Linked DNA regions of Cricetulus griseus. The protein of the gene in region 3 purifies or fractionates together with the protein of the main gene of each other region. This does not show direct contact. Links are inferred from orthologs where the notes say so. Each region holds a gene or a part of one and is shown on either strand. Other genes may lie near its edges.

Evidence for each region.
Region 1: the proteins of Pds5a (region 3) and Wapl purify together in Homo sapiens (affinity purification with mass spectrometry; 6 studies listed by BioGRID and IntAct, with this or other methods). This does not show direct contact. The link is inferred for Cricetulus griseus from reciprocal best matches to the Homo sapiens genes PDS5A and WAPL.
Region 2: the proteins of Pds5a (region 3) and Cdca5 purify together in Homo sapiens (affinity purification with mass spectrometry; 4 studies listed by BioGRID and IntAct, with this or other methods). This does not show direct contact. The link is inferred for Cricetulus griseus from reciprocal best matches to the Homo sapiens genes PDS5A and CDCA5.
Region 4: the proteins of Pds5a (region 3) and Smc1a purify together in Homo sapiens (co-immunoprecipitation; 8 studies listed by BioGRID and IntAct, with this or other methods). This does not show direct contact. The link is inferred for Cricetulus griseus from reciprocal best matches to the Homo sapiens genes PDS5A and SMC1A.

Annotation. Positions count from the first base shown.
Region 1 is NW_023276807.1:184,660,571-184,668,023, forward strand, and holds part of Wapl (wings apart-like protein homolog), read right to left. Parts: intron 6,791-7,453; coding exon 5,747-6,790; intron 2,689-5,746; coding exon 2,570-2,688; intron 1-2,569. UniProt on the Homo sapiens protein: Regulator of sister chromatid cohesion in mitosis which negatively regulates cohesin association with chromatin. Involved in both sister chromatid cohesion during interphase and sister-chromatid resolution during early stages of mitosis.
Region 2 is NC_048596.1:53,260,100-53,268,035, forward strand, and holds the start of Cdca5 (sororin), read right to left. Parts: upstream 4,637-7,936; 5' UTR 4,501-4,636; coding exon 4,455-4,500; intron 4,273-4,454; coding exon 4,181-4,272; intron 4,095-4,180; coding exon 4,029-4,094; intron 3,949-4,028; coding exon 3,913-3,948; intron 810-3,912; coding exon 384-809; intron 218-383; coding exon 137-217; 3' UTR 1-136. Other genes in the region: Zfpl1 (zinc finger protein-like 1), read left to right, coding at 4,699-4,846, 5,171-5,280, 5,557-5,668, 6,864-7,057, 7,178-7,250, 7,324-7,470, 7,650-7,767. UniProt on the Homo sapiens protein: Regulator of sister chromatid cohesion in mitosis stabilizing cohesin complex association with chromatin. May antagonize the action of WAPL which stimulates cohesin dissociation from chromatin.
Region 3 is NW_023276807.1:132,697,575-132,705,027, reverse strand, and holds part of Pds5a (sister chromatid cohesion protein PDS5 homolog A), read left to right. Parts: intron 1-183; coding exon 184-310; intron 311-1,505; coding exon 1,506-1,586; intron 1,587-4,701; coding exon 4,702-4,842; intron 4,843-6,187; coding exon 6,188-6,303; intron 6,304-6,920; coding exon 6,921-7,015; intron 7,016-7,453. UniProt on the Homo sapiens protein: Probable regulator of sister chromatid cohesion in mitosis which may stabilize cohesin complex association with chromatin. May couple sister chromatid cohesion during mitosis to DNA replication.
Region 4 is NC_048604.1:107,482,267-107,490,360, forward strand, and holds the start of Smc1a (structural maintenance of chromosomes protein 1A), read right to left. Parts: upstream 4,128-8,094; coding exon 4,019-4,127; intron 3,939-4,018; exon of another isoform or gene 3,795-3,938; intron 1-3,794. Other genes in the region: Ribc1 (RIB43A-like with coiled-coils protein 1), read left to right, coding at 6,431-6,445. UniProt on the Homo sapiens protein: Involved in chromosome cohesion during cell cycle and in DNA repair. Central component of cohesin complex. The cohesin complex is required for the cohesion of sister chromatids after DNA replication.

The DNA.
Region 1 (7,453 bases), about 52 Mb from region 3:
GCTGTCACTGTCAGCTAATTTCCCTAAGGCATTTTGATGCCAATGAGAAAAAAAAACTAAAATTCTGGAGAACTTGATCTATTACGGACTAAACATGACCAGTAACAACAAAATTTGGTTTGACAAGATTAGCATGAATTTTTGAGTGAGCATAATGAAATGTGTGCATAACTCAGGGTGACTAGTATTTTCCAAATGGCCCACATATAAGGTTATAAAGCATGCATGGTTAAAAATACCTGTTCAAAATGTTAAGGGGAAACAACAGGTTCAAATTTAACAGTATGAAAAGCTTACAAATATGGGATAATCATCAAGAAACTCAAATTAAGTTTCTGGTGTAGCACACCAAATATATTTTAAAATATCATTTGAAAAGGTTATCTAAAATACAATCATATAGCATGTTTATGTTAGATTTTCCCAGTGTTGGGATTAAAGTCATGAGCCACCATACCAAGTCTTCAAGAATCTTTTTAAGCTTGCCTTTGCAGAAATTTACAAAAATAAAGATAAAACAATGTATTCTTCCTTCAATATTTTTGGTTTTAAATAATTTTTCATATAAGTTATGTTGCTATGTCATTGGTTTATTATTTTAGTAGAATTGTAAACAATACATTTGGAATTTGTTTCTTTATTTCTAATCTGATAGGGGTTTTTTGGTTTTTTTTGTTCCCCCCACTCCCCACCCTGGTTGTTTTTTAAACCATTTTTATTTGAGATAGGGTCTTGCTATGTGGTTCAAGCTGGCCTGAAACTACACACATACATATGAGCAAAACTAAAGGGACTCAGCAAGATATGTGGGTTTGTATGAGAGAGAGAGAGAGAGAGAGAGAGAGAGAGAGAGAGAGAGAGAGAGAGTGTTGTGTGTGTGTGCATGTGTAACAATAGTAGGTAAAGAAGTCATGATGTTGAAGAAGGAGGTATAAGGGAGGAGGACACGGAAGGGAGAGGTAGAAATAATGTAAACACAATACTTACATATGGAATCCTCTCCCCAAAATAAATGAAATAAATGTTTAAAAAAACATTTATTTAAAAAAGTCTATGTGATTGGGCCATCCCTTGCCTATTGGTAAATATTGCTCTGAAAACTAACATACTTCATAAACAAATCCATAAGAACTAAAGTGCATCAACAACTACTGTGAAGATACTCAGTGGGCTTTTACAAAAGTAAAATAAGAAAAAAATAGGAATAGATACAAAAATTAATTCAACTGGAAAAAATAAAAGTTGCTGACAACTTTTAACTACAACTTAGAAGAACAACACACAGCAGGCTTTTTAAATGTAAGAAATATTCTCAATACCTGTGCAAGGTTATATTAAATTACATGCTGCAATGCCTGAAAGTGAAGGTGGATCACGATCACGACCTTACAGTATGCACAAAAATTCACTCAAAATAGATCAAAAACCTAAATAAAACTACAAACCATAAGCGAAAAACAGTTTTGAAAGTCTACACCGAATTTGGCAATGAATCCTCAGCTTTGATATTAAAACCACAGACAACAAAAGGAAAAGAGTTGTGCTTCATCAAAAATTTAAAAAGTCGGCACAGGGCGTTTTTTAAACACACGCCTTTAGTCCCAGCACTCGGGAGGCAGAGGCAGGTGGATCTCTGTGAGTTCGAGTCCAGCCTGGTCTACAAGAGCTAGTTCCAGGACAGCCTCTAAAAGCCACAGAGAAACCCTGTCTCGAAAAAACCAAAAAACAAAATCAAAAATTGGCAAGGAGGGGGGGCAACACGAAGAACTGGGAAAATACTTGCAAACTATGTATCTAATATGGAATTTCTTTTTAATTAAATTTTACCACTTTATTATACAAAACATTGCAAATTAAAAAAAAAAAAATCAAACACCTAACATAGGCCCAAAGATTAACTCACTGAACTTCTCTTCTTTACAGAATAGCTTAGAAATTCAGTCCTTCGTCATTCCCTAACATTTAGCAATACTTGTTCTCTTTCCTACATGTTATACTGTGCTCACATGTACATTTATTTATATACATATGTATGTATATATGTGTGTACATATATTTTTTAATGGCTAGACTTCAAATGTAAGAACACTTTTTTTGAGATTGTATGGACTCATCTAATATCACATATTCTAATCTAAGTCCATTTTCCTGCTAATTTTTATTAATTTTTCTTTACAGCTTAATAGTATTCTCTCTCTCTCTCTCTCTCTCTCTCTCTCTCTCTCTCTCTCTCTCTCTCTCTCTCATACACACACACACACACACACACGCATGCTCGTCCATTCATCTGTCACTGTGGGGATGGGCTTTGAGGTCTCATACGTGTTCAAACGACGCAGTGTCTCAGATCACTTCCTGTTTCCTGTGCAAGATGTGGAACTCTCAGCTTCCTTTCCAGCACCATTTTCTGCCTGTGCGCCGCCATGACCCACCATGATGATAATGAACTGAACCTCTGAACTGCAAGCTAGCCCCAATTAAATGTTGTCATGTGTCTCTTCACAGCATTAGAAACCCTAAATAAGACATGAGTCCTCTAATGATAAATAAATAATAGTGCTTTACTTACCCGTTTGGGGCCACTAAAAATCTTTCTGGTATTTTCCTTGGATTTATCGCCTTGTTTATTTATGGGCTTCTTCACACTCTCAGGCACACCAGGCAAGTCCTCTGTAAAATCCAAGTTTTCTGAAACGGTAATCAAAACTAGCTAGCTTTCCAGTATTTCAAGTTATCAGAAAACTTAAGGCCATTTTTTAAACATAATATTGGGGTTAGGGTGAGAAATGAATGAAAGATTAAAAGCAGCAACAGCTGAAAAGCTACTCTAATCCTCACCTTCTACTTCAAAACCTGGCTGTTAAACATGTGTTCTAGTTTTATTTTGTGTTAACATAAAACAAAACAAAAACAAATATTTTCTCTTTTACTGAGAATGGCTCTTTGTAGCTAGCGCCCATAGTGGCCTGGAATTCACTAAATATCCCTAATTGGCTCAAACTCATGGCAATCCCTCTGCTTCAGCTGCCCAAATACTGAAATTACAGTCATGCATCACTATGTCTGGCTTTAAATTTTTTCCAAAATAAAATTTGAACTTCATAGATCATGTAACTACCAGATACATATGAGTGCTAGATATATAATTTATATCAAACTCATAAATATCAAATGATACCTAAGTTTCACATATTTCTAGATTTTTTTTGTTGTTATTGTTTTTCGAGACAGGGTTTCTCTGTGTAGCTTTGGAGCCTATCCTGGCACTCGCTCTAGAGACCAGGCTAGCCTCAAACTCACAGAGATCTGCCTGCCTCTGCCTCCCGAGTACTGGGATTAAAGGCGTGCGCCACCAACGCCCGGCTATTTCTAGATTTTAAGTTCATGAAATCATGTTAACTTAAAAGAATACTTGTTGGAAGCCAGCTAAGCAGAGCTGATGTAGCAGAGCTAGACTCCAAACCCAGGTGGTCTGGTGTCAACACTGCATGCTTCCAGTACTCACTGAATGCATTTGTGCTGGGTGGGGATATAGAATGCTTTGATGCAAGATAAGTAATTTGGTGTGGCTCTCAAAAGTCAAAGACACTGTTCAAACTGTAAGAGGCTGCTGGCTTCTATAAAGATAATCATTTCTTAAAAAATTTTAGATGAATATTATGTATATGAGTGTTTTGCCTACATGTATGCCTACACATACCTGCCTGGGAACTTGCAGAAATGTTCATGTAAACTTCATTTCTCAAAGTTAGTCTATTTTTCACATTTCAGAATTGAAGTCCTATTATTACAACATGTAACAGATTTTAAATTGCAGATGAGAAGAATAACTTACTATACAAATTGAGCCTAAAAGTCAAATAAACTGCAGCAGGACAAGAGTGTAGGTACTGCACAGCATTATGACCAGATCTCAAGTGTCTAGTGAGGCTGCTGCAAACTGCAATCTTCCAGAAGAGGCTGATGATAACACTAGATAAATGTTAACTATACTTTCTTAGGGAACTGAAGAGGCTCTAGAAGTTCCTGCTTTAATTCCAGTTAAAACCAAGGATGAATCTTATCTGGGCTGAGAGTGTAACTCAGTCATAGAGCATGTTTCCCCTGTACAAATCACCCCCAAAACCATGCAAACTACTTTTAGACCCAAAAATGCTAAGTAGCAGGTAGTGTCAAGTATGATATACTCTATTTGGGAATCTAAATTCACAAATACTATGGAAATTCTAATTCACCACAATTACAAATGTCTACAACTTTAGCAGGACAAAAAATTTTTTAAACAATTAAACCAATATAGCAAAGCTGTATTTGGTTGAAAAGACCTTTTATTTCACAAATTCTTCCTCACATAAGTGAATCCTCTACACATCACCCTTTTCAAGTAAAGCTTTAATTATAGCAAAGCTACCTATATATATATATATATATATATATATATATATATATAGAGAGAGAGAGAGAGAGAGAGAGAGAGAGAGAGATTCAACTCCTAAGAGAATCTTATCATTGAGCCTACAGTCTTAAGAGACAAATTTTCATTATTAAAAGAGAATTCTTACCCAGTACTTTACAATCTATTTTGTTTTTGTTTTTCCCAGACAGGATTTTTCTGTGTAGCTCTGCTGTCCTGAAACTTACTCTGTAGACCAGGCTGGCCTAAAACTCAGAGATCCACCTGCCCAGCATACCTTTTGATCTTATGAGACTACAATTTAAGAGGGTTTGAGAATGTTTCAAAAAAAAAAAAAAATTTTTTTTCTTTTTTAGTTTTGTGCTACTTACAAAGGGTTTAATTAATTTGAGTATTTCCCTCATAAAACCATCTCTTATCAGTACAGTTCTAATTATCCAAAATCCTTATGTCTCCATTGCATTTGGATTTTCAAAGCTAAAACAAGATATTTGGTATCTCTGTCCCAACAGTTTAAAATTCTCATATAAATTCACAGGTGCTGGCCTGAAGGCAAGGATGTAATTATATCACTAGACCCAAGAAAAATGAAAAATGGGTGTTTATTGGGGACAATTACACAGAAAAATACAAAGAACCACCAGAGCGTTTCTCTGCTCTTCCTACTGATCCACTGACCCAACAGAAGGAGCAAGCAATGAAAAGCCACACCTCAGGCTCCTCTCTTTCTGCTTAGGTTCGCCTGAAGCCACACCCAAAGGTCCAAAGACCAAATGCCTACACTGGCCTAAGGCTGTATATTTCAGTGGCAGACCTTATTATGTGTGAGGCCCTGGTTTGGAATCCAATCTGAAACCAAAAACCTTAAAGGCTAGTCACTGATTTAAAGCTTCGAGACTCCCAGTCTTTCATAATTTAAGACCTAAAAATTTACATGAAAGTTTTATACCTCTGAGGCAATAGATGGGTTCTAAATAGATGCTTCTACTAATATTATAGCAAACTATGGCTAGAGAAATGTCTCAGTGGTTGGGAGAATTTGCTGCTCTCCCAAAGGATCGGAGTTGTTTTCAGCACCCAGGTCAGACAGCTTACAACTCTAATTCCAGCTCTAGGGGACTTACTGCCTCTGGCCTCAGAGGGTACTTGTATTCACATGCACATACCCACATACAGGCACACACATCTACATATTAAAAATAAATCTCACATATATAAAACAAACTAAAACTAAGTATCTACGAAACAGTCTAGCCTTTGATTAAAGCCTGAGAAACAAATCATATGTTAAACATATTATTATGTTATGTATATATTTCTTACAATTCTTACCTGCATTATTAGTACTAGGCTGACTATCCTGGGAATTGTCGCTGCTTTCAGGGGGAGGCTGCAGGGAAGGTGATGGAGCTGTTTTAGTTCTTTTTTTGTTTGTCTTTCTTTCCACTTGACAGTCGTCGTCATCATCATCTTCACTTTCACTGAGATCGTCAAAGCCAAAATATTTAATTTTGTAATTAGAACTTCCAGAACCCCCTTCATCACCTCCTGTCTCATCATGATCTTCAAAACCAAAAAATTCAAGTTTAACATCCTTTTTGGATTTAGTATTACTAGGTCGAAATCTAGTAGTGGTCTTGGAAGTTGCAATATCTGCCTTTTTCCTGAGCCGGCCAGCCTCTCCTAAGTCTGCAGGAGTGGACGCCGTGAACTCATCCATACTCCGTTCCATTGTATCCTGGATGGTAACATTACAAACTGACAAGCAGGATGGATGTAAAACAGTGTAATCTCTAGTCCGTCCAACTGTTCCTCTAAAACTGGTCCCACAACTTACACCACCTTTCTTTGCCTGATTCAGGCCATCTTTACTTGAGTCACTGTTTGCTTTGGCTAAGGCCTGACTGGTGCCATCCATTAGCTTATCGAAATTTAATGCTCCCTGTGAGGATTTTGCTTTATTGGCCCTACAGTACGTCCTACAGTTGCTTGGCCTAAGAACACTTTGTATAATATCTTCTTCAATGGCTTCATTTAGATTTTCCAATCGGTTTTTTAAATCTTCATCCTTCATCTCTAAAAGAGAATCATTATCCAAACTCAGAATACAGTCTTCTGATCTGATATCTTCAAAATCATTATCCCACTCATATAAACCAGTTCTTACAGGTCCTTTGACTGGACAACTTTCAGATGGAGACTCTGATCTTTTCCCAGACTGGGTGTTCCAAGTATCATTTGTTTCCTTAATCTCATCAGCTTTATATTCAGAAGCTACTGTGGTTTCTGTGTTGGGTTTCTTAGTACTATCTTCAGCATTTTTATGAAAATGGTGACTATTTTTTTCATGTTCTTCACTAAAATTCTCCACTTTATCTATAAAAAAAATATGTCAGGTTAAAAACATGAAATGTCATCAGTATTCAAATTAACAAATAGCAGGGCTTTCTGAATAGTAATGCAGAATAATCCTGAAATAGCTGCAATAATTTCAAATTGTAAAAAAAAAAAAAAAAAAAGTTTACACATTTGACATTTGCTCTCCTAGTCAGTATGTACAACTGCATGTCTTCTAGTAACCTGTCCCTGAACATCTAAGCCTCTGTCATGCTGAACTCAGAAGAAGTTAGGCATTAAGAAACTGAACCAAGTGAACATTTAAGTTTTCAAGTAACTATGTTTAACTTAGAAAGTATTTAGTAGAACTAAAACTCAGCAACAATAAATGAAAGCCTTTCAGGGACATTTGTACTTACCTGGAACAGGGCTGCATATACGGCATATTAGCTTTGCCTAGAAACCTGCTTGCAGGAAGCTTCTCTAGATCTTTCTATATTTCTTCTAATCCTAAAAGCCACATGACATCATGTAATTTTTAACAATGGTTCTGGTATCTATGTGGTACCTATTTATGCATGTCAACCAGCATTGCAAGTTTAACATGACTTTTTAAAAGATTGATTTACTTATGAGTATGAGTGCTTTATCTGCATGTCCGCCTACATGCCAGAAGAGGGCATCAGATCCCACTACAGATGG
Region 2 (7,936 bases), on a different chromosome or scaffold from region 3:
AAGAAAGTCCAGGGTAACTAGCCACAATATAACAAGGGGCCAGCTACACCTTTCTGGGTAACAAGTCCTGCTCTACTCAAAAGTCAATATGTACAGGGAGAGGGGAGAGCCTAGCCAGGTGTACCCCCACTTTATCTCATTCAATCAGAAGATCAAACTGTTCAGCAGCTTCAAACTCAGCATTCATGGCCTTAGCCCACTCATCCAGCTCCGATTTCTGGTAGAAAGAAATGAGGGCATTTGAGTGGGGAAGCGGCCACATTGCCCAGAGAATGTTACTTATCCACACCTCAGGAATTGCCTTCCCTCAAAACCTGGAGTCCTGCCCCCCTCCCCCCAACCAATACGGTGCATCTGTGGGAGAGACCCCGCCCCTTACTCACTAGGATCTCCGGCACCTTCTTCCTTCGCTTCTCTTTCATGACTGGAGGAGAGATTCCAGGAAGCGTTGTGTCTGGAATCAAGGGCTTCGAAGATACTTTGGGGATCTCAATTAACTTTGAACTCACGACAGGTGAGACTTGGGGCAAGTCTTCAAGTCCCTCAAAGCCAAAGAAGGATCGGCGGCCAGGGGTGGAGGTTGAGGCAGCATTGAGCCTCTCAAGCCGACTGTATGATCGCCTGACTTTCTGGGACATTTCCAAGTCTCTGGTGTCCAGTTCTCTTTCCTCAGAGTTAGACTCAACATTCTGAGTATACAGCACTGGGGTGCTGGTGGGGGTACCAGGGACACTACAGGTCTTGAAGAGGTCCTCCTTTGTGGGTACCTTGAGAGGAGGGTTGTTTTCTTTTTCCAAGATAAAAGAGATCTGTATCAGGACAGGCGAGAGAACTCTTGTCAGCTCGGGGATTCAGGATGGAAAGACTGCCCACAAAGCACAGGATTTCTACGTTTCTTGTGTATTTTATGGTTGACCTTGTGCATGCTAGACAAACACTGTGCTGAGGAGTTCCATCCCCAGTCCAGGACAGATTTTAAGCAACAAACAGTCATAGAGCACATGCCCAGAAATGCATAAGCCCTGGGTTCTACCTCCACTGTTGGAAAGAAAAAAAGAGATAATCACTACTGTTTTGGAGAAGCTGACTTAGGACAAGATTCACTACATTTGCTGCCACCCTCAAATGTACCTGGCATATAGCAACAATTTGCTACTTGACATAAAGTTCCAGCATACCTAAACTGGCTTGACAGCCTCCTAATTGTTTTGCCTGCTTCCAGGGTCATCTGCCATATAGCTTCTAAAGATTTTTATAAGATGTTCATTTGACCAATAAATATCTATTAGTGACCTGTCCCACACCAGGGAATGTTCTGGGCACCGGGAATATATCAGGGAAAACTTAAAACAAAACAAAACACTGGCACCTCAGCACTTTCACTGTGGCACTGAAAACATGAGGAAAACTTGGGTGGGGGTGGGTTAAAAAGCAGAACAAGCTGGGCGGTGGTGGCCAACGCCTATGATCCCAGTACTCGGGAGGCAGAGGCAGGCAGATCTCTGTGAGTTCAAGACCAGCCTGGTCCACAAGAGCTAGTTCCAGGACAGCCTCCAAAGACACAGAGAAACCGTCTCAAAAAACCAAAAAAAAAAAGGTTCTTTTGGGACTGGAGAGATAGCTAAGAGAGCACTGACTGCTCTTCCAGAGGTCCTGAGTTCAATTCCCAGCAACCACATGGTAGCTCACAACCATCCGTTATGAGATCTGGTGCCCTCTGCTGGTGTGCAGATATACATGGAGGCAGAATGTTATATACATAAATAAAAAAAAAAAAAAAAAAAAAGCAAGGCAGAACAAGGTGAGTGGTTGTAGTGCATGCCTTTAATCCCAGCACCCGGGAGGCAGAGGCAGGTGGATCTCTGTGAGTTCGACCAACCTGGTCTACAAGAGCTAGTTCCAGGACAGCCTCCAAAGCCACAGAGAAACCCTGTCTCGAAAAACAAAAACAAAAAACAAAACAAAAAACACAGATGGGTGTGGTTGGACACACCTTTAATCCAGTACTCAGGGGCAGGAGGACCTCTATGAATTGATGCCAGCATGGTTTACAGAGTGAGTTCCAGGACAGGCAGGGCTATACAGAAAAACCCTGTCCTGAAAACAAAAGGATGCCATCAGAAGTGGTACCACCTCTAAATACTACATCCCCATCCTCTTGCGGCCACACAGCCACCCAGACTGTACTACTTTTTTTTTTGTTTGTTTTTCTTTTTCTTTTAGTTTTTTGAGACAGGATTTCTCTGTGGCTTTGGAGGCTGTCCTGGAACTCTCTTTGAAGACCAGGCTGGTCTCGAACTCATAGAGATCCACCTGCCTCGGCAAACCACCCCTGCAATGCTGAGATTAAAGGTATGCACCACCAACACCCTGCCAGATTGTACTTTTTGAGAAAGGGTCTCTTTATGTAGACCAGGCTGGCCATGAATTTGGAAGTCCTCACTTTTAAGGTAGTTATGTTTAGAGGGAAAGATATCAAACATGTAAGCAAGTACTCTACTAGATGATGATAAAGTAACCGCAGAGAAATGGGTCAATGAACTATAGTAGTCAGGAAGCTCTCCAGGAGGAGGTGTGATAGGACATGTGTCCAGCCATTATCTTAGTTGGGGCCTAATCATATTAACTCAAGGCTCTCCCCTTGGTCCCAGGGTTGCAATGAAATCACTCACATACTCCTAGAGAAATCTTTCTATGACATCCCAGCTTTACTCTCTCAGTACCTCAGTTCAAAAGCTGGCTGTGATTATCTCAACAGCAGGGCACCTGCTTAGCATGTGTGATATCCTGAGATTGACCTCCAGCACCACACATCAGGATAAGAAATCAAACTAGGGACTATAATCCCAGAACTCTTGGGGCTTAGGAAGGAAGATAGCCTTGACTTCAAGGCCAGCCCATCTTACTCAAAGAGTACCAAGCCAATCAGACCAACTCAATAACAAAACCTTGTTCAAAGAACAAAATATCATTGGGTATAGAGATGCACAGCTGTAATTCCAGTACTTGGGTGTTTGAAGCGAGAGAATCAGGAATTCAAAACCAGCATTAATTATACACTAAGTTCAAGGCCAGGCTTGGCTATATGAGACACTAATACACTATCTCAAAAAACAAGGTGTTCACAGACAAATGACAAAAGTCCTTAAAAGTTCTACCAAAACTATAAAAGCATGTACATACAACTCATCTTCAAGATGGGGTTTCTCTGTGTAGCTCTGGAGGTTGTCCTGGAACTCGCTTTGTAGACCAGGCTGGCCTCGAATTCACAGATCTGCCTGCCTCTACCTCCTGAGTGCTGGGATTAAAGGCGTGCGCCACCAACTCCCAGCATATAACTCATCTTTTACAGTTTGTATTTTGTATGCACGTGTCCATGGAGGCCAGAAGAGGACACTGAAGCTACAGATGGTTGACATCCATCTGATTTGGGTGCTGAGAATTACTCTTTCCTTTTTGTAAACATTTACTTAGCTGGGTGGTGGTGGTGCACAGCTCAGGAAGGCAGAGGTGGATCTCTGTGAGTTTGAAGCCAGCCTAGTCTACAGGGTGAGTTCCAGAGCTATACAGAGAAAACCTGACTTGAGAAACAAAACAAAACAAACTAAACCCAACAACATTAAAAACTAAAAATGAAGGAAAGTCCTGATAGCATGGACTCATTTAATCCTTGGTACCATCACTGGGGAGACCAAGGCAGTTGGATCTCTGAGTTTGAGGCTAGCCTGGTCTACAGCAACTTTCAATTCAGGACAACAGTGTTACACAGTGAGATCTAAAGTGACAATTCATAAAGGTGTCAAGAGGCAAGTTGTTCTCAGCTGCCTGGGTGGAAGTGGTGCTTAGTATGTCTACCCTTTTTTCTAAGGAGAACCGGATCCCATACAAATAAGCAGGTGGAACTGAACTCACCCTAGGACTCCTTCGAAGTGTGTGGACAGCTGGGACCTGTAGAGATAACATCAACCCATCAATCAACAGCTTAGCCGGTTTGACATCTCACTCTCAAATCCCTTTTAGTCCCTCACCTCTACTGCATGAGCCACGATCTTCTTCAAGATGATAGCCTTTCTGACCGGAGCCGCTTGAGGTGTCTGAAAAGAGGGGAAAGGGTTACCATGAGCTTTACATTTGTTCAAAGCTTTACATTAGGTCAGTACCTGAGGAACTCGGATCTCACCTTCGGCCATATTTCAGGAAAGATGTTTGGGAGATCTGAGCCAGATTTCCGCTGGGACCTCTTCGAAGACTTAATAAATGGAGTCTTGGGTCCTGGAAAGGGAAATATGTTTAAAGATAAGCAAAACTTTGTTCGAGGAAAAAAATAAAAAACCAAACGAAACCAGGCGCTTGACGAGTTCGGAAAAGCTGACGCCGTTTTCCAACTTGCCCGGGAGCTAAGTTTCATTGTCCAAACGACACGGCCCTACGGCTGTCGAGCGTCCTCCACTCACCAGGCCGCTGCGCGGCCCCTCCGGACCTCGTTCGCCGCTCCGACATATCTATGGTCCGGCTCAGTCTCCTTCACCACCGTAGCCAACTTAGGCTCGCGCCAACCGGGAAGTTTGTTCCTGCAAACGTTCAAATCACCCGCCAGCGGGAAGGCGGAATCGGAAGTGACGCAAGAAGAAGGCTGCCCCTTGGACTATGCCTTTGTCGTCTCAGGTTTACGTCTTGCGTGGGCAGAGGCGTGGCCTGATGGCGCTGTGGCGTCATCAGAGCGCGCCGCACCCGGAAGAGACGTGGCAGCGGAGGGATAATCAGAGCGGCTGGAGCCGAAGGGAGCAGAGCTTCAGCTACCGGAGTGGGTCAACACAGTCTCCGACCTTCTGCGCTTCCCACCACAGTACGCACCGGTCGCTACCGGTACCGCGGAGGTTCTCTGAGACTCAGCATGGGGTCTGCCGGATGGGGGTGGGGTCAGGAGGGGGTGGGGTCTTAGGGGCGGGCTGGTGTTATTGGAGTAATTGATGGAGAGATCTGGCTAGGGGCTGGGTCCTGATGGAATGAGTACGGTCTGTGCTGGGGGCGTGGCCGTACCCGTGCTGAGGACTAGTGTGGGACGGGTCTGAGAGATTAAAAAAAAAAAAAAAAAAACGAACTAGGTTGGTAAGAACAAAGTGGCAATCACATGAACCTGGTTTCCTGTTAACTCAGATCCTCTCTCTAGGATCGGTCATGGGCCTTTGCAAGTGCCCCAAGAGGAAGGTGACAAACCTGTTTTGCTTCGAACATCGAGTTAACGTCTGTGAGCACTGCTTGGTAGCCAATCACGCCAAGGTGGGACGTTCAGAGCGGTGGCTGAGCAGGGCACTGGGTGGGCAGGCCAGTCTCCTTCCAAATCCATGAGGGACTCAACGCTAGATTGTAAGCTCCACAAGGGCAAGGACTTGGTTTATGTTGCTCTCTGTTAGACCTCCAGTAGGTGCTCAGTAAGTGTTCATTGACTAAACACACAAAATGAATCTGATGAAAGAAACAAGGCACTTGGGCCTTGGAGTAGTATATTAATCGTAGAGCCTGGGCACCAGTTGTGACATCTCTTTTCCACTCCAGTGCATCGTGCAGTCCTACTTGCAGTGGCTACAAGATAGTGACTACAACCCCAATTGCCGCCTGTGCAACACACCCCTGACCAGTCGAGAGACAACCCGTCTTGTCTGCTATGGTAAGGCCTGGGCACTGGGAAGGGGTCAGGGCAGCCCCAGGATCCAGCTTGGAGACTGGTTTGCTGGCACCTTTCAAGCTTCGAGACAATAAGTCTCTGAAACCTGGAGGCCAGAGCCTCTGATCCCAAATCTGTTAGGTACTTCCCTGCTTCGTAAGCCTAATCAAGCCTTGTCCCTTCCACAGCCTCAGTGTCTTTCCTTCCTGCTCTGCCAGTCTTGGAGAGCTGGAGATGACTGATCTGTGGCTGTGAGCAAGATCCATTTTTGGGGAACGTTATTAATTCCAAGACTGGACAGAAAGGAAGCCTCACTCGTGCATTACAGTTAGCTAGAAGGAGACAGTAGTCACAGCCTGCTGTAAAAGACTCAGCTTAAGTTTTTCAAGATGCTGGTTCAAAAGGGCAGGCTTTAATGTGTTTCTCTGTGAGATTATGTGTACACTCATACAAATGGACAATTTGATTACTACGTATGGGAAAGTGAATGGATAATGAATGTATATGAACACATGTCCTATGGAATGCATGATGGCATGAGGGTGTTGGTTTTTGAGTATTAGCTGCCTTGAATGTACAGATGTGTACATCTTAAACATGTGACAATTAGTGTAGGTTGAGGGAATGGCTTTTGAGTTTGCTTATATATTAGCATATGTATATTTGTACCTCTGGATATATGCATGTATCTGTGTGTATGTCTGGGAAGCTTTCCTAAAAGTGCTTTTGTATTAATGTCTTTTTGAGCTGGGATCTCATGGGGCTGACTTTGAACTCTTGATCCTTCTGCCTCTACCTCCCAAGAGATAGGTGTACAAGTAGCTGCTGCCACACCCAGCCTGAAACTATTGTTGTTTAACCTTTAGCGTGAGGAGTGTGATGGGTTCAGGCCCAGAGAAGATTCTGGTAGATGACATTTTCTTCCCAGCCACACCTTCTCCTTATGGGCTGGCCAAGTAGATAGAATCTACTGTGATTTAGTACAGTGGTATTAACAAGAAGGTTGAATGAAGTCTTGGGGACCTGGGGTGAAGAAGAAAAGGAATGACCCTGGGTATCCACATATATGTTCATTCATTCCTGCAATGAGCTGACTAGGGTGTGTGTGTGGGGGGGGGCAGGCATTGCTAGGCCTAGGCTAAGAGCCCAACAAGTTGTCTTTCTCATGTCTTTCCTTTCTTGTTTCATGGGTCCTAAGATCTCTTCCACTGGGCCTGCATCAATGAACGTGCTGCTCAGCTACCACGAAACACGGCACCTGCAGGTTACCAGTGCCCCAGCTGTAATGGCCCCATCTTCCCCCCAGCCAATCTAGCTGGCCCTGTGGCTTCAGCACTGAGAGAGAAGCTAGCCACAGTCAATTGGGCACGGGCAGGACTGGGCCTCCCTCTGGTGAGAATCCCCCTGTCTATCTGGCCATCTGTTTGCCCTCGCCCTCACCCTCACCTGAGCCAGATTGGATGGGTTGGTAACATGAGTGAGCAGGCTACTGACTTAGATCCCTTTCTCCAGATCGATGAGGCAATAAGCCCAGAGCCTGAGCCCCTCAATTCCCCAGACTTCTCTGACTGGTCCAGCTTCAATGGTAAGTGGTGGCCTCCATCTGCTGTCTGGGCCTTGCTTCCCTGCTTCACTGACCATTCTCTCTCTGTCCACAGCCACCAGCCCTGCTGCACAAGAGGAGATAGACAGCACTTCTGTTGCTCCAACTTTCTATGGCCAGGTTCCCTGTCCCCCTTCTCCCCCCAACTGTCCTGAGCAGCACACAGTCATACACATGGCTAGTACTGAGGCCCTGACACACGGTGAGCTGTAGAATTTTCCCAGTCAGAAAATAGAAAAAAGTGGGTGATTTGTGTGGAGGGCGCTCAGGAGCCCCTGTGGAATGGCTCTTCCTCACTCCAAGTACAGATATTGCCTCCCTACAACTTCCATAGGACCAGTTTGTCTGAGCTTATTCATGCTGGTGTTTCTATCCCTATAGCCCCAAGGAAGGTATATGACACACGGGATGATGACCGGACAGCAGGATTCCATGGAGATTGTGATGATGACAAATACCGCCGCCGGCCTGCTCTAGGTTGGCTGGCCCAACTGCTCAGGTACATGGAGACACACAGGATGGGGTGTCAGAGAGGAGAAGCCCCATGGTGGACAGTTTGTTGACAGTGATTCTTTTTCTGGGCACTAACAGCATCCAGTGCCAGGGCCACAATGAGGCCCTGGCAGGCGGGCAGACTTAGTGTGTGTGTCCTTTCCAGGGGTTGTGCC
Region 3 (7,453 bases):
AACTGGAAATTTTAACTGGCATGATGACATTTAGGAGGGCAAAGAGGTGCAACCCGAGCATGAGGTCAACCTGGGTTACATAGCAAGACCTTATCAATAGCAAACAAAAAAGTATATGAAAGAAAACAGACCCCAGGGAACTTTGTCTTTCTATATGCCTTAATTATTTTCCCTTCTTTTTAGCAATAGCCACAATAAGAAGGTACAAATGCACATGTTAGACTTGATGAGTTCTATCATCATGGAAGGTGATGGAGTTACTCAAGAATTACTGGATTCTATTCTTATCAACCTCATCCCCGCACACAAGGTCTGTATAGTATCAAGATATTAGAGATCAGTTTACTTAAAGAAACCAGTTACTGGCTTTTGCCCATTTACAATTTTGTATAATTCCTATTCTGACCCTTGAATGAGTCATATTAGTCTTAAATCTATTATCTTTAAAAGATACATTGTTTTAAATACTTAAAAGTTTTTTATTTGCTTTGTTAAAATATGTATGAGTATTTTACCTGCATGTATATTTGTGCACTATATGTGTGCAGTGCCCACAGAGGCCTGAAGAGGGCCTGGAGTTACAGAGTTGTGAGGCACTTTGTGGGTGCTGGGAATCAAACTCCTATGCTTGTAACAGAGGCCAATGCTCTCAACCATGGGCCTCAGAAATACGTTTCTAGCTTCTTTTTGAGAGGTACAAGATGAATAAGATTGAATCTATTTTGTAGTTGAGAGATGTTAACAGGTGTTCTTTAAAACAATAATTTTTAAAAATAATAAATTTTTAAAATTATATATGCCATGCCCACCATCTTTCTTAGATCCTTTAATTTGTTATAGTACATTGGGATTTAAGAATAGTATTCATCACTTCAGAAACAGGAGATCTGGGTGTGATGGCTCACACCTTTAATACACTTGCTTGGGAAACAGGCAGACAGATCTCTGAGTCCAGCTTAATCAATACAGTAAGTTCCAGGCCAGCCAGTGCAACATAGTGAAACACTGTCTCAAAAGGAGGGGGTCATGCAAGTAAAAATATGGTTGATCAAGGGCCTTCCCTACCCTTTCTTTTTTTGTGGTTTAGGAACTTGAATCTAGGGCCTCATAAAAATTAGATGATTAGTCTACTATACTACTGAATCACTTCCCCAGAACTTTTCAAGAACACATTGATTAAACAATGAAATATTTAGCATTTGGGTTTGGGGAGGGCAGCTTGTGTGTAGTTAAGTTCATGTTGGCTGTCATACAAACTCAAAGGCCTTAACATCATTTTTAGTTTAGTAAAGCTTTATACAGGTTGGACTTTTGGCTACCTGTCTAATGTATTTTAATGTTTGATTTGTTGAGTTCATTTGGCTAGTACCTTCTGTGTAAAAACCTTGAATGGAATTCACTTAACTTTTTTCCTATTTTGGTAGGTTTGAATACTTAACTGTTCAAATGATGCTGTCTCATCAATTCATCTATTCATTTGTAGCTTTGCATGATTTGTTTTTCAGAACTTAAATAAACAGTCCTTCGATCTTGCAAAAGTCCTGTTGAAAAGGACAGTCCAGACTATTGAAGCATGCATTGCCAATGTATGTATTTCTGTATACTTTTATTTCAGAACTCTATGATTCGTGGGGTATTATGTGAATTTATTAGAATCATTTATATACAGATATATTTCTCATATAAACAGTTTTATTCAGATGAAATATGAAAACTTACATGCAAATATGACCACAATTGGAAAAATGTAGCATAACCATAAAATGTCTTTAAACTGGCACGAGTGATAGATATTACTTTAAAAACTAACTACATTTCTTACCCTTCTGCATCTGTATTCTTGCTTGTCATATCCCTCCCAAGTACTTGAAACTTTTACTTTGTCTTTGTATCTTTTCCCTGCCTTTTGCAAAAGGGTCTCATTATATAGCCATGGCTGGCCAAGAACTTTCTAGGTAGATCAGACTGGCCTCAGAAATCTGCCTGCCTCTCTACCCTTTGGATCTCTGTCTTCATCTGTATATATTTTCCTCTTTGTGTTTTCTGGATCATTTATCTAAAACTCTGTTTCTTTAGTAGATGTTTGTTGTGGGGAGCTGGGGTCAGAGGATAACCTGTAGGATCAGTTCTGTTCTTCCATCACGATCGGGGAATCAAACTAAGCTCATCAGGTTTGGGCGCAGGTGACTACCTGCTGAGCTAGCTCTCCAGTCTTATAAATAACTGTTTTTAAAACATTCGTTGATAGCTAGACAGTGGTGGCACATGCCTTTAATGCCAGTATTTGGGAGGCAGAGGCAGGTGAGTGTCTGTGAGTTCAAGGCCGGCCTGGTCTACAAATCAAGTTCTGGAACAGCCAGTGCTATACAGAGAAACTCTATAGGGGGACGGGGGCAAACTTTGACACACACACCCCCACACAAAAGCACATATACAAGCATGTGCATATATTAATTCCTGTAATAGAAAATTTTTAATTAAACATAAATCTGTTCTGTCAAAAGATAGAATTTGATAAAAATAAATAATTTTAAAATTAAAATTTATTACTTTAAAACAGTAATTCTTTTACAAATTTACTCATGCATATCTATTGTCTTTTACTTTTAGCTCCATTAATACAAATGAGGGAGGCAAGGGAAGCAGAAGGAGGGGTGAAGGAGAATTTTGGTAAAATGAAATAAAAATAAAAAAATACAAATGGATTTAAATTGACACATAGTTATTTCCCTTATTGCCTTATATTAAAGGTTTTATCAGTGTTTTTCTTTACAAGCCATCTTTGAGAATGCAACACTATTGTGGAATTACCTCCTTATATATAAAAAAGAGGGATTATTAATTTAAATTGTATAAAATTGCTATGTCTGTTATTAAATTAATAACAAGGTAGGCTACCATGAAAGTCCTGTTCTCCATTCTCAGAAACAACAGTCAGTAGGTGTTAGTATTCAGGCATCTGTACTGGCCTGTCCTTGGGGGTTCTAACAGGATATGCCCTCAGCTGCAGCCACTAACAGCACCTCCTGTGCATATTCATTATGTTCCCATCCTCCTATATTTCTCTCCCTGTCTCTGTCCTCCCCTCCTTCCTCTCTCCTGCTGCTCCTGTCCCTGGAGGCTAGTCTTCCCTTTCCCTTATTTATTTATTTATTTATTTATTTATTTATTTATTTATTTTCAGGGCAGGGTTTCTCAATGGCTTTGGAGGCTGTCCTGGAACTAGCTCTGGTCTGGAACTCACAGAGATCAGCCTGCCCCTCCCTCCTGAGTGCTGGGATTAAAGGCGTGTGCCACCAACACCCTCCCCCCTTCCCTTTTTTTACGATTCCTTTTCCTAATAAAAAACCCCTCAGCTTGAACTCTGTTGCATGTCATCTTTCTCTCTTGTGCTGCTTTTTAAAAATTATAACAAGTTCTGATCCATTTTCAGAAGTATCACCCCATGCTTATTTGTGTGTATATGTATGTTCTTTTATATGTATAGGTGTTTTGACTATGTATGTCTGTGTACCATATGTGTACCTGGTATCCATAGGGGTCAGAAGAGGGCATCAGATCTCCTGGGACTTGAGTTACAGATGGTTGAGAGCTGCCATGTGGGTGCTGGGAATGAACCTGAATCCTGGAAGAGCAGCCAGTGCTCTTAACCCCTGAGCCATCTCTCCAACTCCGACTCATAGCTTTTCTAAAGAAATACATATAACTTTATGATGTTCAAAACAAATGCTGATTTTCATAGAACTGTGTTTTTAAAATTTTGAAATCTAGTTCCTGGCTAGAGAGATGGGTTAGTGGTAGAAAGTGCTTGCTGTTCTTACAGAGGACCCAAAATTCCCTTCCTGACACCCATGTCTAGTAGCTCACTCACAACTACCTATAACTCCAAATCCAGTGGATTCAGTGCCCTTTTTTGGCCTCCATGGTTGTACACTCAGAATATATACACACAAATGAAATCTATAAAAAGTTAAAAACATTCTATATGTATATAGGAGGGGTGTGTTTGTGTAAGTGACTTGTGATTGTTTTTCCTACAGTATTCTTTTATGTATCCAAGTACCTCTGGGGGGTGGGGATATTTCCACTTAGTTTCCTTTGGAGACCAGAAAATAACATCACATCACTTGGAACTAGAGTTACAGGCAGTTATGAGCCACACTTAATGGATTTTTGGAAAGTTAATTGAGTCTTCTGCAAGAGCAGTCCATTCTCTTAATTGCTAAACCCTTTTTAAATTATCAACTAACTTTCATGTCTTCAACCTTAGTCAAAATGTATTTGACTTTCACTAGACATCACTAAACTCATAGGAAAAATATCAGATTGAGACTTTATAAATTATTTTGCAATGCTGAGTGATTGATTTATAAGTGTTCTTCTAATGAATTATACATGGTATCTAAATTGTTTTATTTTAATGAAAATTAAAGTTTTCAGAACTGTCGTCTTTATTAGAAACACAGCCAATAATCAGTGCTTTAATTTTAATCAGTGTTTTAATTCATGATTTGAAAATATTTGGAAGTTTGTTTCTTGTTTAGATGACTATGTTAGTAATTTAGTAGGTAATCTGTCATTCCTTTCAATTGTATGTGTAATGCTCATTCATTGTTTTTGCATGGATATTTATAGAAAATTGTTTTTTTAATTTTTTTTTAAAGTAAAGTAACACATCTTTTATTGTAATGTCTCCTCTAGTTTTTCAATCAAGTCCTGGTGCTGGGAAGATCGTCAGTCAGTGATCTGTCTGAACATGTATTTGATCTGATTCAGGAACTTTTCGCTATAGATCCTCATTTATTGTTATCTGTCATGCCACAGCTTGAATTCAAACTGAAGGTACCCTTTAGGCTTTACAGGGGGAAAAAAAAGTGTATTTTGAAGATTTTTCACTATTTCTAAAGGAATGAAATAGGAGTTTAGTTTATCTTAGCTTCATGACATCATAACATGTCTAGTTGTTATCTGATAGACATAGTGACACAGAGATAGAAAAGTGCTGTTGTCTTTGAAATTTATAATATTCAGTATTTTTACTTTAAATAATACTTATATTTAGATACTAAATTAATTTTATTGTGTAAATAATGGGTTTAATCATTTTTATGCCACATCAGTATATTAGGATGTACATATACACACTAAATAAATGTAATATTATATTATAAAAGTAATTGATAAACTATTAATGTAGAAATTTTAAATTATTGTTCCATACATTCATTAAAATGGGTATTGTCAGTTCAACATACATCTTCATAATTTAATATTTCACTGTGACTTAGATCAACACTCCTGTATATCAGCAATAACAAGCCATTCTGCTCCTGAAGGCCATTTGAAATACACTTGAGGAACATGTGAAATCTTACAATGAGGGCTTTAGGTCAACTTAGCAGTTTGGTTTTAGTAGGTTACAGATGTAAAACCTCACATTAATTGAAATAACTATGGATCTGCAACTGTAGTCACTCACGAGTAATAAAAAATTTCCTTATACTCTATTGTTTGACATTTAAGGCATTAATATTTCCTTAGAACATTAATTGGATTAACTGGTAAATTTTGGATATACTAAACACTGGTATCTCTCAGCATTGTTTTATTTTGCTTGAGAAAAAGCTTTTTAAAAATGCATTTTTTTACTACTATGTTAAAGCCTTAACATAATTGTCATTTTACATTTGTTTTATACAAATGTATGTATTTTATTCCTGCTGCCCAAAAGCTTTCTGCGAGTGATTAACTTGAATTTTGAATTCTCAGTTTCCTTAGTAGTATTGTTCTTTATCATGTTTTCTAGTCAGTGGAGAATTATTATTAAAACTGTAAACCAAAACTTTTAAGTGTTCTGTATCCATAGCATCGAGTCTTTATGAAGGAAGTTTACTAGGGCAGGAATTATTTGTCACTTTGTCCTTTGTGGAATTTTTCTAAAGTCTTAGACAATGTGAAGATTTAATAAAATGCTTATATTTGTACAAAGTCTCTATAATCAATGTGTAACTTGCAGATAAATTGTAAAGTAGGCATAAATTAGCAATAGGGAAGATGTAAGAAGGTCATCAGAGAATCATGCAATCTAACATGGAATCAGATTGTTCATCATAATAGTTGAAATATAAGATTGTTTCTACTTGGGAAGTATAGTGCAGGTTCTCTTCATTGTTTCTTCTCTTTGTAGAGCAACGATGGCGAAGAACGATTAGCTGTGGTTCGACTTCTAGCAAAATTGTTTGGCTCTAAAGATTCAGACTTAGCAACACAAAATCGGCCTCTTTGGCAGTGTTTCCTTGGGCGGTAAGAAAGCATGACTTTTGAATTTTGTGTGCTCTTAGAGTCACATAATTACGACTACATATACCAAACATTAATTGATATTTGTTGACATTTGTGTAGTAATTTGCCTTTTAGAATAAATTGTGGAGCAAAGTATTTATGTATGAGTGTGTGTAGTATAATATGTGGGTGCATTCTGAGTAGTTTTTATTTTGTAGCAACATTTCAAGCTTTAGTAATATTAGATCTGCAAAATCTGTTGTCTGAGTTGAAGCGTATATTTACAGTAGTTGTTTCAATGTGTTAAGCATATACTGTTTGCAGAATTGTTTCTATAGAATTAAGCATCTTTCTCTCTGTCTCTGTCTCTGTCTCCATTATGTAGCTTTGGTTGTCTTAGGGTCCCTCTGGAGACCAGTCACTGTCTTTGAATTCATAGATCTACCTGCCTCTGCCTTCGGGATTAAAGGTGTGGGCCATTATGACTAGTTCTTTATATTTTTCATAGAATACATTAGCTGTCAGTATAATTAACAGTTTCTACTTAGTAACCATTGCTGTTTATAAACACTTTTATGTTATATGTTTATTAATAATTAATTTGCCTTATTGATGCTTGGCAATCTTTTTCTACTTAGCTTTAATGACATTCATGTTCCTGTGAGATTAGAAAGTGTGAAATTTGCTAGTCATTGTTTGATGAACCACCCAGATTTAGCAAAGGATCTCACGGGTAAGCTCCCTGGTTTATTACACGTTAATTAATTACAAAATGTTTCAGATGTGGCCTGTACCTAACTCTAGTTTCCAAAAGGGATTTGATTCTAGGCTGTCTTCATGTCTGCTTTTTAGACTAGGAAATTAATTCTGGTTTATAAGATAGTATCTTATAAAACAAAAACATGTATTTGTCATTTGTAAATATTTTAGAAATCATAAGTTGAGATAATGTAAGCCTATGACATTGGCATTAGATACAAAACACGTACATTATTAAGTATAGTAATATACCTAATGTGTGCAGAAAAGGGGGGCTATTTTCTAATTTAGATTGTTAAATTTTCATTATTCAGTTTAAAGTAGTAAACCTACCTATTTGTCAGTAGCAAATAAATAGCTTTTATTAACATGCTACTATTTATTGAAAGCAGAAGAAATAACTTTTGTTTTG
Region 4 (8,094 bases), on a different chromosome or scaffold from region 3:
TACGTTTGACCATGTTCATAATACAATACTTGGAAAGAAGGTATAAGAAAACCTATGAACAGGCTGGTGAGATGGTTCTGCAGAGTAAGGCACTTGCCACCAAGCCAGATAACCTGAGTATGACCTCCAGCACTCACATAGAGAAAAGAGAGAACTGACTCCTGCAAAACTGTCCTCTGACCCCCACACATGCACCAAGCTTGCCACACAAGCATAAAGGATCTAAGTTTGGAGTCTTAGCATCCACTTAAAAAGCTGGGTATGATGGAGTAGGCCCATAACCTAGCATTGAGAAAGTGGAGACAGGGCTTGCTCGACAGGCAATATGGACCGGTTGCTGAGCTGCAATCCAATAAGATATCCCATCTCAAAAAACAAGATGGAATTGATAGGTGTTGGTGGAGCACACCGTTAGTCCCAGCACTCAGGGGGCAGAGGCAGGCACATCTCTGAGTTCAAGGCCAGCCTGGTCTACAGAGGGAGTTCTAGGACAGACAGGACTGTTACACAGAGAAACCCTGTCTTGAAATAAAGAAATAAGGTGGATTTATCAAAAAAAGACACTAACATCAACCTCTGATACAAACACACACAATAAATGTCGTTTTAAAAATAATTAAATAAAAACATTAAAGAGGAAACTTGGCATGTTTCTGAGTCTGCTCAGATATGTACCACTGAACCACATACTGGGAAAACTTTTTGTACTTTTTGAAATCACTCAGTCCAGTCTCTTGATCAAACAAGGGAAAAGGAGAGAAACTTAACAAAACAAACTAAAGTAGCAAAACCAGTACAATTTTTTTTGATACAGGGCCCTGCTATGCAACCCTGGTCCTCACTATGCAGCTCAGGTTAACCTGGAACTCATAGCAATCTTCTTGCCTCAACCACACAGGTGCTGAAACTATGGGTATGTGCCATCACACCTAGCAAGTACCAGGTTCTCAAACTTTTAAAATTACCAAAATTATATCATTAGTACACTATTTTTATATGGAGCTTCTTTCAAATATCCAATTTGTGTGTATGTGCATGCATATGGAGGCTAGAGGTTGATGGTGGGTGTCTTTTTTTAAATAACTGTTGAACTTATTTTTTTGAAACAGGATCTCTCTTGGCCTAGAAGCTCACTAACTGAGCTATAATAGCTGGCCAGCAAGTCCCAGGTATCCTCCAGTCTCCACCTCTCCAGTTCTGGATTATGAGTATATACCACCACACACAGCTTGCTTGCTTGCTTTTTTTTTTTGTTTTTGTAGACCAGGCTGGTCTTGAACTCACAGAGATCCACCTGCCTCTGCCTCCTAGGTGCTGGGATTAAAGGCATGTGCCGCCACCACCACCTGGCTCACACCCAGCTTTCTAAGTGGGTACTGAGAATTCAAACTCAGGTCCTCATACTTGTGTGGCAAGCAGTTTACAGACTGGGCCATCTCCACAGCCTTCTCTTTCATCTGACAGCATCCTGAACTCTTTTTAATACTTGTTAAAATACCAAGGCAGAATCAGCTATTTTCTTAAAAATACTACATCACATGATTCATGCAACTTTGTGATTCATGTTCACATTAATTACCCAATTTAGCTTATCCAAAAGTCTTAGGAAATAGGCATTTCCTCTACTTTAAAGAGGAAGAAACCTAGTCATTCCTCAAGTTAAACTGTCAGTGAGTTCTTTACTTCAACTGACAGGGTGATAAAAACAGTCTCCCTACAACATCCAGCTCCAAGATCCTTGCTCATTTGTCCTTCATTCTGTTACTGTTTGTTAAACACCTTAAAAACATAAACCTTGTGAGGCTGGGGATGTGACCCTGCTGAGTGTGTGCCTATCTAGCATGTACAAGGCCTTCAGATCAAACCCAAACACTGTATTACACCAGGTGGAAGTGAACACCTGTAATTCCAGCACTCTGGAGATGGAGGCAGGAAGATAAGAAGGCCATCCTTGAAGTAAGTAAGAATTTAAGACCAGTCTGAAATGAGATCCTATCTCAACAAATGAACAATAAAAAACCAAGATCAACCTGGCGTTCAACAATCAGCAGATCCGCAGGGTGGTGGTACACACCTTCAATCCCAGCACTTAGAAGGCACAAACAAGTGGATCTCTGTGAGTTCGAGGCCAGCCTGGTCTACAGATCAGTTCCAGGACAGCCAGGGCTGTTACACAGAGAAACCGTGCCATGGGTGGATGGAAGGACAGATGTATTGTTATACAGTCTAGATTCAACCACACTTCCAGTTACAGCAGAACTAGCACATAAGTTGGAATTCATCTTTCAAGTATCAATTTCCAACCTTTGAGCTTCTTCCTTGATTTTTTCAAGGATAACACCTTACAACTACAAGCCTTTTTACTCAATTCTTCAGTGTTGTAAACATTTTTTCTAATGTGCTTCGTGAACACTAACAAAGTCTCACTAACAAAACATCTCAAGAAATGGCTTCTTGAGGACACTCATACACTAGTGATGAAGATACAGACACAGGTACTATAAATTTGTGACAGAAAATAGTCTATGCTGGCACATGCCTTTGACCCCAGCACTCAGGAGGCAGAGGCAGGTGGATCTCTGTGAGTCCAAGGCCAGCCTGATCTATCTACACAGTGAGTTCCAGGACAGGCTCCAAAGCTACACAGAGAAACCATGCCTCAAAACACCAAAAAGAAAGGGAGGAGGAAGGGGAAGGAAGGAAGGGAGGGAGGGAGGGAGGGAGGGAAATTTCCGTCTGTGTGCCAGAGAGAAAGAGCAATTTATAAAGTGGGAACCAAGGGTTCAAGGGATGCTTCACAGAGCCAAACTTTGAAAGATATGCAGAAGGAAGATGTGGTAGAATATACTCACTTGGGGAGGGGAAATTTGAAACCATAAGGAAATTTGAAATTTGAAACCATAAGATATGGTCTCAAAAAAAAAAAATAATAGAGAGGGTAAGGACTCGGGCCAAGGGCCTTTTAAAAACAGCTGGATTGCCAGGCATTGGTGGCGCATGCCTTTAATCCTAGCACTCGGAGGCAGAGGCAGGTGGATCTCTGTGAGTTCAAGGCCAGCCTGGTCTCCAGAGCGAGTGCCAGGATAGGCTCCAAAGCTACACAGAGAAACCCTGTCTCGGGGAAAAAAAAAAAAAAAAGATGTTGCGATAGCAGGCTTAAGTCTGGAAAAGTAGGCTTACCTACTACCAAAGTCAATTTAAGCTATCAACTTTAACCCCTTTTTTTCAGAGCATTTAAAACGGCCTGAATATTATATTTTGTACTTTAACTTCTTTCTCCTCTAAATAAGTTTCCTGGGATCACGGACTTGACTTATTTTCCGCATAAACTTAACCGATAAAACCGGAAGCACTCAACAAATTTGGCAAACAAACAAGTTCAGGCTCATTAGGGCTTCCTGGTAGGAAAGCGGCAAATCAAGGCAACATCTCTTAGGTGTGTAGGGGCGAGAAACGGAATCCCACTCTGCTGGGAGAAGTGTTGTGTCTAAAATCCCAAAAGTGTCACAGCTGCACACAGGGAAAAACGAGCGTTCCAGTGAGAGTCGCGTTTGCGGAGTGGGGCTGGCTAAAGCAGAAAGTATACTATTTGGGACCGAATGCCAAGGCAGAGACAACATTCCCAAAATTTCCCAAATGTGTCGAACTTGAGACCAGGAACCTGGTACAACGCAGAGCAGAAAGGAGCCACAGGCCAAACAACTGTCAGCAAGTTCCAGGAAAGCGTGTTTTGGCGGGAGGGGTTGTGGGCGAGGCAACCCATAGTCCCGCCCATACCATTCTGCCCAGAGAGGGGGTTTGCACAAGACTCGGCCACCTGACATTTGGGAAGGGGCTCGAGTTAAGCATATGGCAGAAGCGGGAGAGAGTTCGAGTCGAATCCCCCCTCAAGGAGAGCAAGGAACATATTAGGGTTCAAGCGTCTCAGGTTGCACGGGGTAGGTTGTACTATTCTGGAGATGGACAGGGGGACCGGATCGCGACGCCAGCAGGGCCGCAGCCGGATTTATCATCTCACCAGAGCCATTGGGTCCAATGATGGCGGTGAACCTCTGAAATGGTCCGATAATCTGTCGACCCTTGTACGATTTAAAGTTCTCGATCTCAATCAGCTTCAAGAACCCCATGGCAGCGGCGCTACCGTAGGCGAGGCCGCAGATTACTCCTGGGAACCGAGGTTAGCCCGCGCGGGAAATACCGCGGTGCAAGCCGGGTGTACGGTAAACCTCGCGATAATAAGTACAAGCCAATGAGGATTTCCGGGGCCAGAGGCCAGTCACTTCCGGCTCGTGCGTGGGTGTTTTGACCCCGCCCCCCTTTGTCGTTGCTCTGCAACAGTCAAAGCGGTAACGGACTGAACTGGGGAAGCTTTAGTCCCCAGAAGGACTACTATCGCTTTGGGAGAGAATCAGAAGGCAGGCGGGGCCTGAGCCCACGCTTGCTGAGACAGAAGTCACAGCAAGGTTATGCCCTCCCCGTTGCTAAGGACTAGTAGGAGGCGGTGGTTTGTAGTCTGGGCTGTCTAGGGCTCCAGTCGGAAATTAGAAGGCACCCTGGGAGGGGTGGGCAGTTTGGACTAGAAGGGCGGATCTTAGGGAGGACTTGAGTGAGGTAAGATTGGAGTGTGAAGGAGGATGAGGACACTCCTAGACTCCTTGACAACGGAAATAGAAGTTGGGGAAAGTTGTGTTCTGAGATACTGCCCTTATCGCCTGCTTCTCTCTTATTTCCCAAAGCGGAATTCAAAGGCTGCCATGTAAATCCTAGAGCCAACTTGGACCCAATCCACTTACGAGCTTGAAAATTAGAATTCTGTACTGAGAAAGGTGTCTTGTGTGAACACCAGGGGTCCAAGTCCTTAAGCCAGTGCTCCAGTTTGTCCTTTTCCCCTTTCTCCTTACTACGTGTTTCTCCCCAATCCCATTCCGCCTGCATCATATGTCTATGGCACTGTACCTTCATCCCCATCTTTCTCTTCACTCTCATCTCCTTTGTCTACCTCCCTCATTGGCTTCTCCGTTCCCCTCCTCTCTCTCTCTCTCTCTCTTTTTTCGAGACAGGGTTTCTCTGTGGCTTTGGAGGCTGTCCTGGAACTAGCTCTTATAGACCAGGCTGGTCTCAAAAGAACTCACAGAGATCCGCCTGCCTCTGCCTCCCGAATGCTGGGATTAAAGGCGTGCGCCACCAACGCCCGGCCCTCCTCTCTCTTCTTAATACCCTGCCCTTATCCATTCATTGCTCATTTCCAGCCTTCATCCTTTCATCCACCTTCTATTATCTTATGCCTGCTCATTACTAAGTGATGCTCTTAGCAACCCTGAGGCTTCCCTTTAGTGGCCTTATAGTATGGCAACAGTTTGAATTTATAGGCTAGTGCCATTTTCAGAAGGTGGTCTCCACAGCTATTCCTGTAACTTTTTTTTCCAGACAGGGTTTCTCTGTGTAGCTCTAGCTGCCCTGGAACTCACTCTGTAGACCAAGCAGACCTCCGAACTCAAGAGATCCATCTGTCTCTGCCTCCTGAGTACTAGAATCAGAGGCATGTGCCACTACCACCCAGATTTGTAACTATTTAATGATTCATTTTTATTTGTGAAGTATGTGTGTATGTATGTATGCCACAATCACGGGACATCAGGTCCCTTGGAGCCGGAGTTACAGGTGGTTGTAAAATACCTGATGGTACTCTGGAAGATGGGGAAGTGTTTTTAACCACCAAGCCATCTCTCCAGTCCTATTCCTGTAACTGTTTTTAAAGAATGCCTAAAAGCTGGGAAAGTGAGAAAGTTCAGTTGATAGAATCTGATGGAAGCCAAAAATGAAGCTGTTGGTAAAAAAGTCTCAGTCACAGTCACAGTCAACAAGAAGGAATAAAATAACCAAAGGCTGAAATCTAATATAATTTTTAAATTTTTACTATTTAATTTTCAAAGATGACATGGAGCTTGGGAGAAAATTAAACTGTATCCCTAATTCTTTTTTTTTAAAGATTTATTTCTTTATTATGTATACAGTGTTCTGTCTGCATATGTCCATGCAGGTCAGAAGAGGGCACCAGATCTCATTATAGATGGTTGTGAGCTGCCATGTGGTTGCTGGGAATTGAACTCAAGACCTCTGGAAAAACAACCAGTGTTCTTAACCTCTGAGCCATCTCTCCAGCAGTTTCAAATGGATTAAAAACAAATGATAAAAGCAAAACTTTAGGAATTGTAGAATAATATATATGAGAATATCTTTATGAATTTAGAATAGGGAGATATTTGTTTTACATGGGGTTTTTTTGTTGCTGTTTGGTTGGTTTTAATATTTTTTTATTCTTTTTTGTGGGAGAGGCAGAGTCTCTTTACATTGCCCTGGCTGTCCTGAAACTCACTATGGAGACCAGACTGGCCTCAAACACAGGGATTCACCTGCCTCTACCTCACAAATGCTGGGATTAAAGGTATGTGCCATCACATGTGGCCTTTTTAAAAATCCTTTTATGCTTTCTTAGATGTGCCAATGAATGTGGAGCATATTCATCCCCACTCCAACCTCTTTCCTCTAAACCCCTATCATACCCCCCTGTTGTTTGTAACTCCCCAATAGTACTTCCCACATGTGCATGGAATGGACCTGCAAAGAATTGACTCTTCCTCAATTCTTCTAATTGGCATCAACTTCTAATAGCTCTTCAACTAGGAATGGAGCCTCATGAGCTCCTCACCAATGCTTGAAGGTTCATTGGCTTGTTGTTGTACAGGTCTCCTTCACGGCTGCTGTGAATTCATGAGTGCATGGCCCTGTCATGTCTAAAAGACGGCAGCTCACAGTACTCCTCCCCATCCTCTAGCTCTTTACATCCTTCCCATTTCTTCTAACACAATGTTCCCTTCTCTTTTTAGGTGTGAGGCTAGCCATTTACCCAGCCCTCCCTCTTCTTAAAATAGCCCTACTTAAAGCCAATATCCTTGTCTTTTAACTTCAGTGGTCTCCACATTGACCTTCTAGCTTCTTCAATATTGTTTTCTGTTGCCCATTCATCACACTGACAAGCAGCTTTTCTGAAATAAAATGTCCCCTTTATTTAATTACCTATTTAGCCAAATAATTGGTCCATGTTCCTTCATATTTTTGGAAGCCCAGTTTTGACACATAAGTGGTGAAGGGTTGCTAACATAAATTTTGTATTTCTCCTCATACAGGAGTCTTTTTTGGAGACAGCTTAAACACAAACTATTACATTTATTTTATTTAGTTGGGGGAGGGGAACATGGGCATGCACATGTGGAGGTCAGAGGACAACTTGTAAGAGTTGGTTTTTTTTGTTGTTTTTTTTTTTTTTTTTTTTTTTTTTTTTTTTCCTCTGCTTTCTCTGTGTAATAGCCCTGGCTGTCCTGGAACTCATTTTGTTGACTAGACTGGTCTTGAACTCACAGAGATCCACCTGCCTCTGCCTCCCGAGTGCTGGGACTAAAGGTGTGGGCCACCACTACCACCACCACCACCACCCCACCACCCGGCTAGGAGTTGGTTCTTTCTATCATGTGGGTTCAAGCATCAAACTCAGATCATCAGGCTTGTTGACAAGTATCATTACCCATTGAGCCATCTCACCAGCCTTGAGACAATTTCCTTGAGACTGGTTCTCACTCTGTAATTGAGAAGGACGCTGAACTACTGATCCTCCTGTCTCCATCTCCCCAAAGTGCTGAGATTATAGGCATGCAGTACTCAATCCAGTTATATGTGGTGCTGTGGATTGTACCCAGGGCTTCATGTATGCTAGACAAGCACTTTTCCAACTGAGCCACACTCCCAGGCCTATTACTACAGGCTTTTAAGAGCCAGTTCCTACACACCTTTTCAATTTGTCTTATGCCACTATCTCAATTGGTTACAGTGCTCTAGGCACGCTGCCCTCTCTTCAAGTACTTGAACTCTTCCTAGTGCTATAACTTCCAATAACCATTTTGTAACTGTGAAATAGTTGGCACAAACAGGGAAATATATATATAATATATATATATATATATATATATATGTATGTATGTATGTATATGTATATGTATATGTATATATATTATATAGCCCATATGTAGGTTTGGAAGC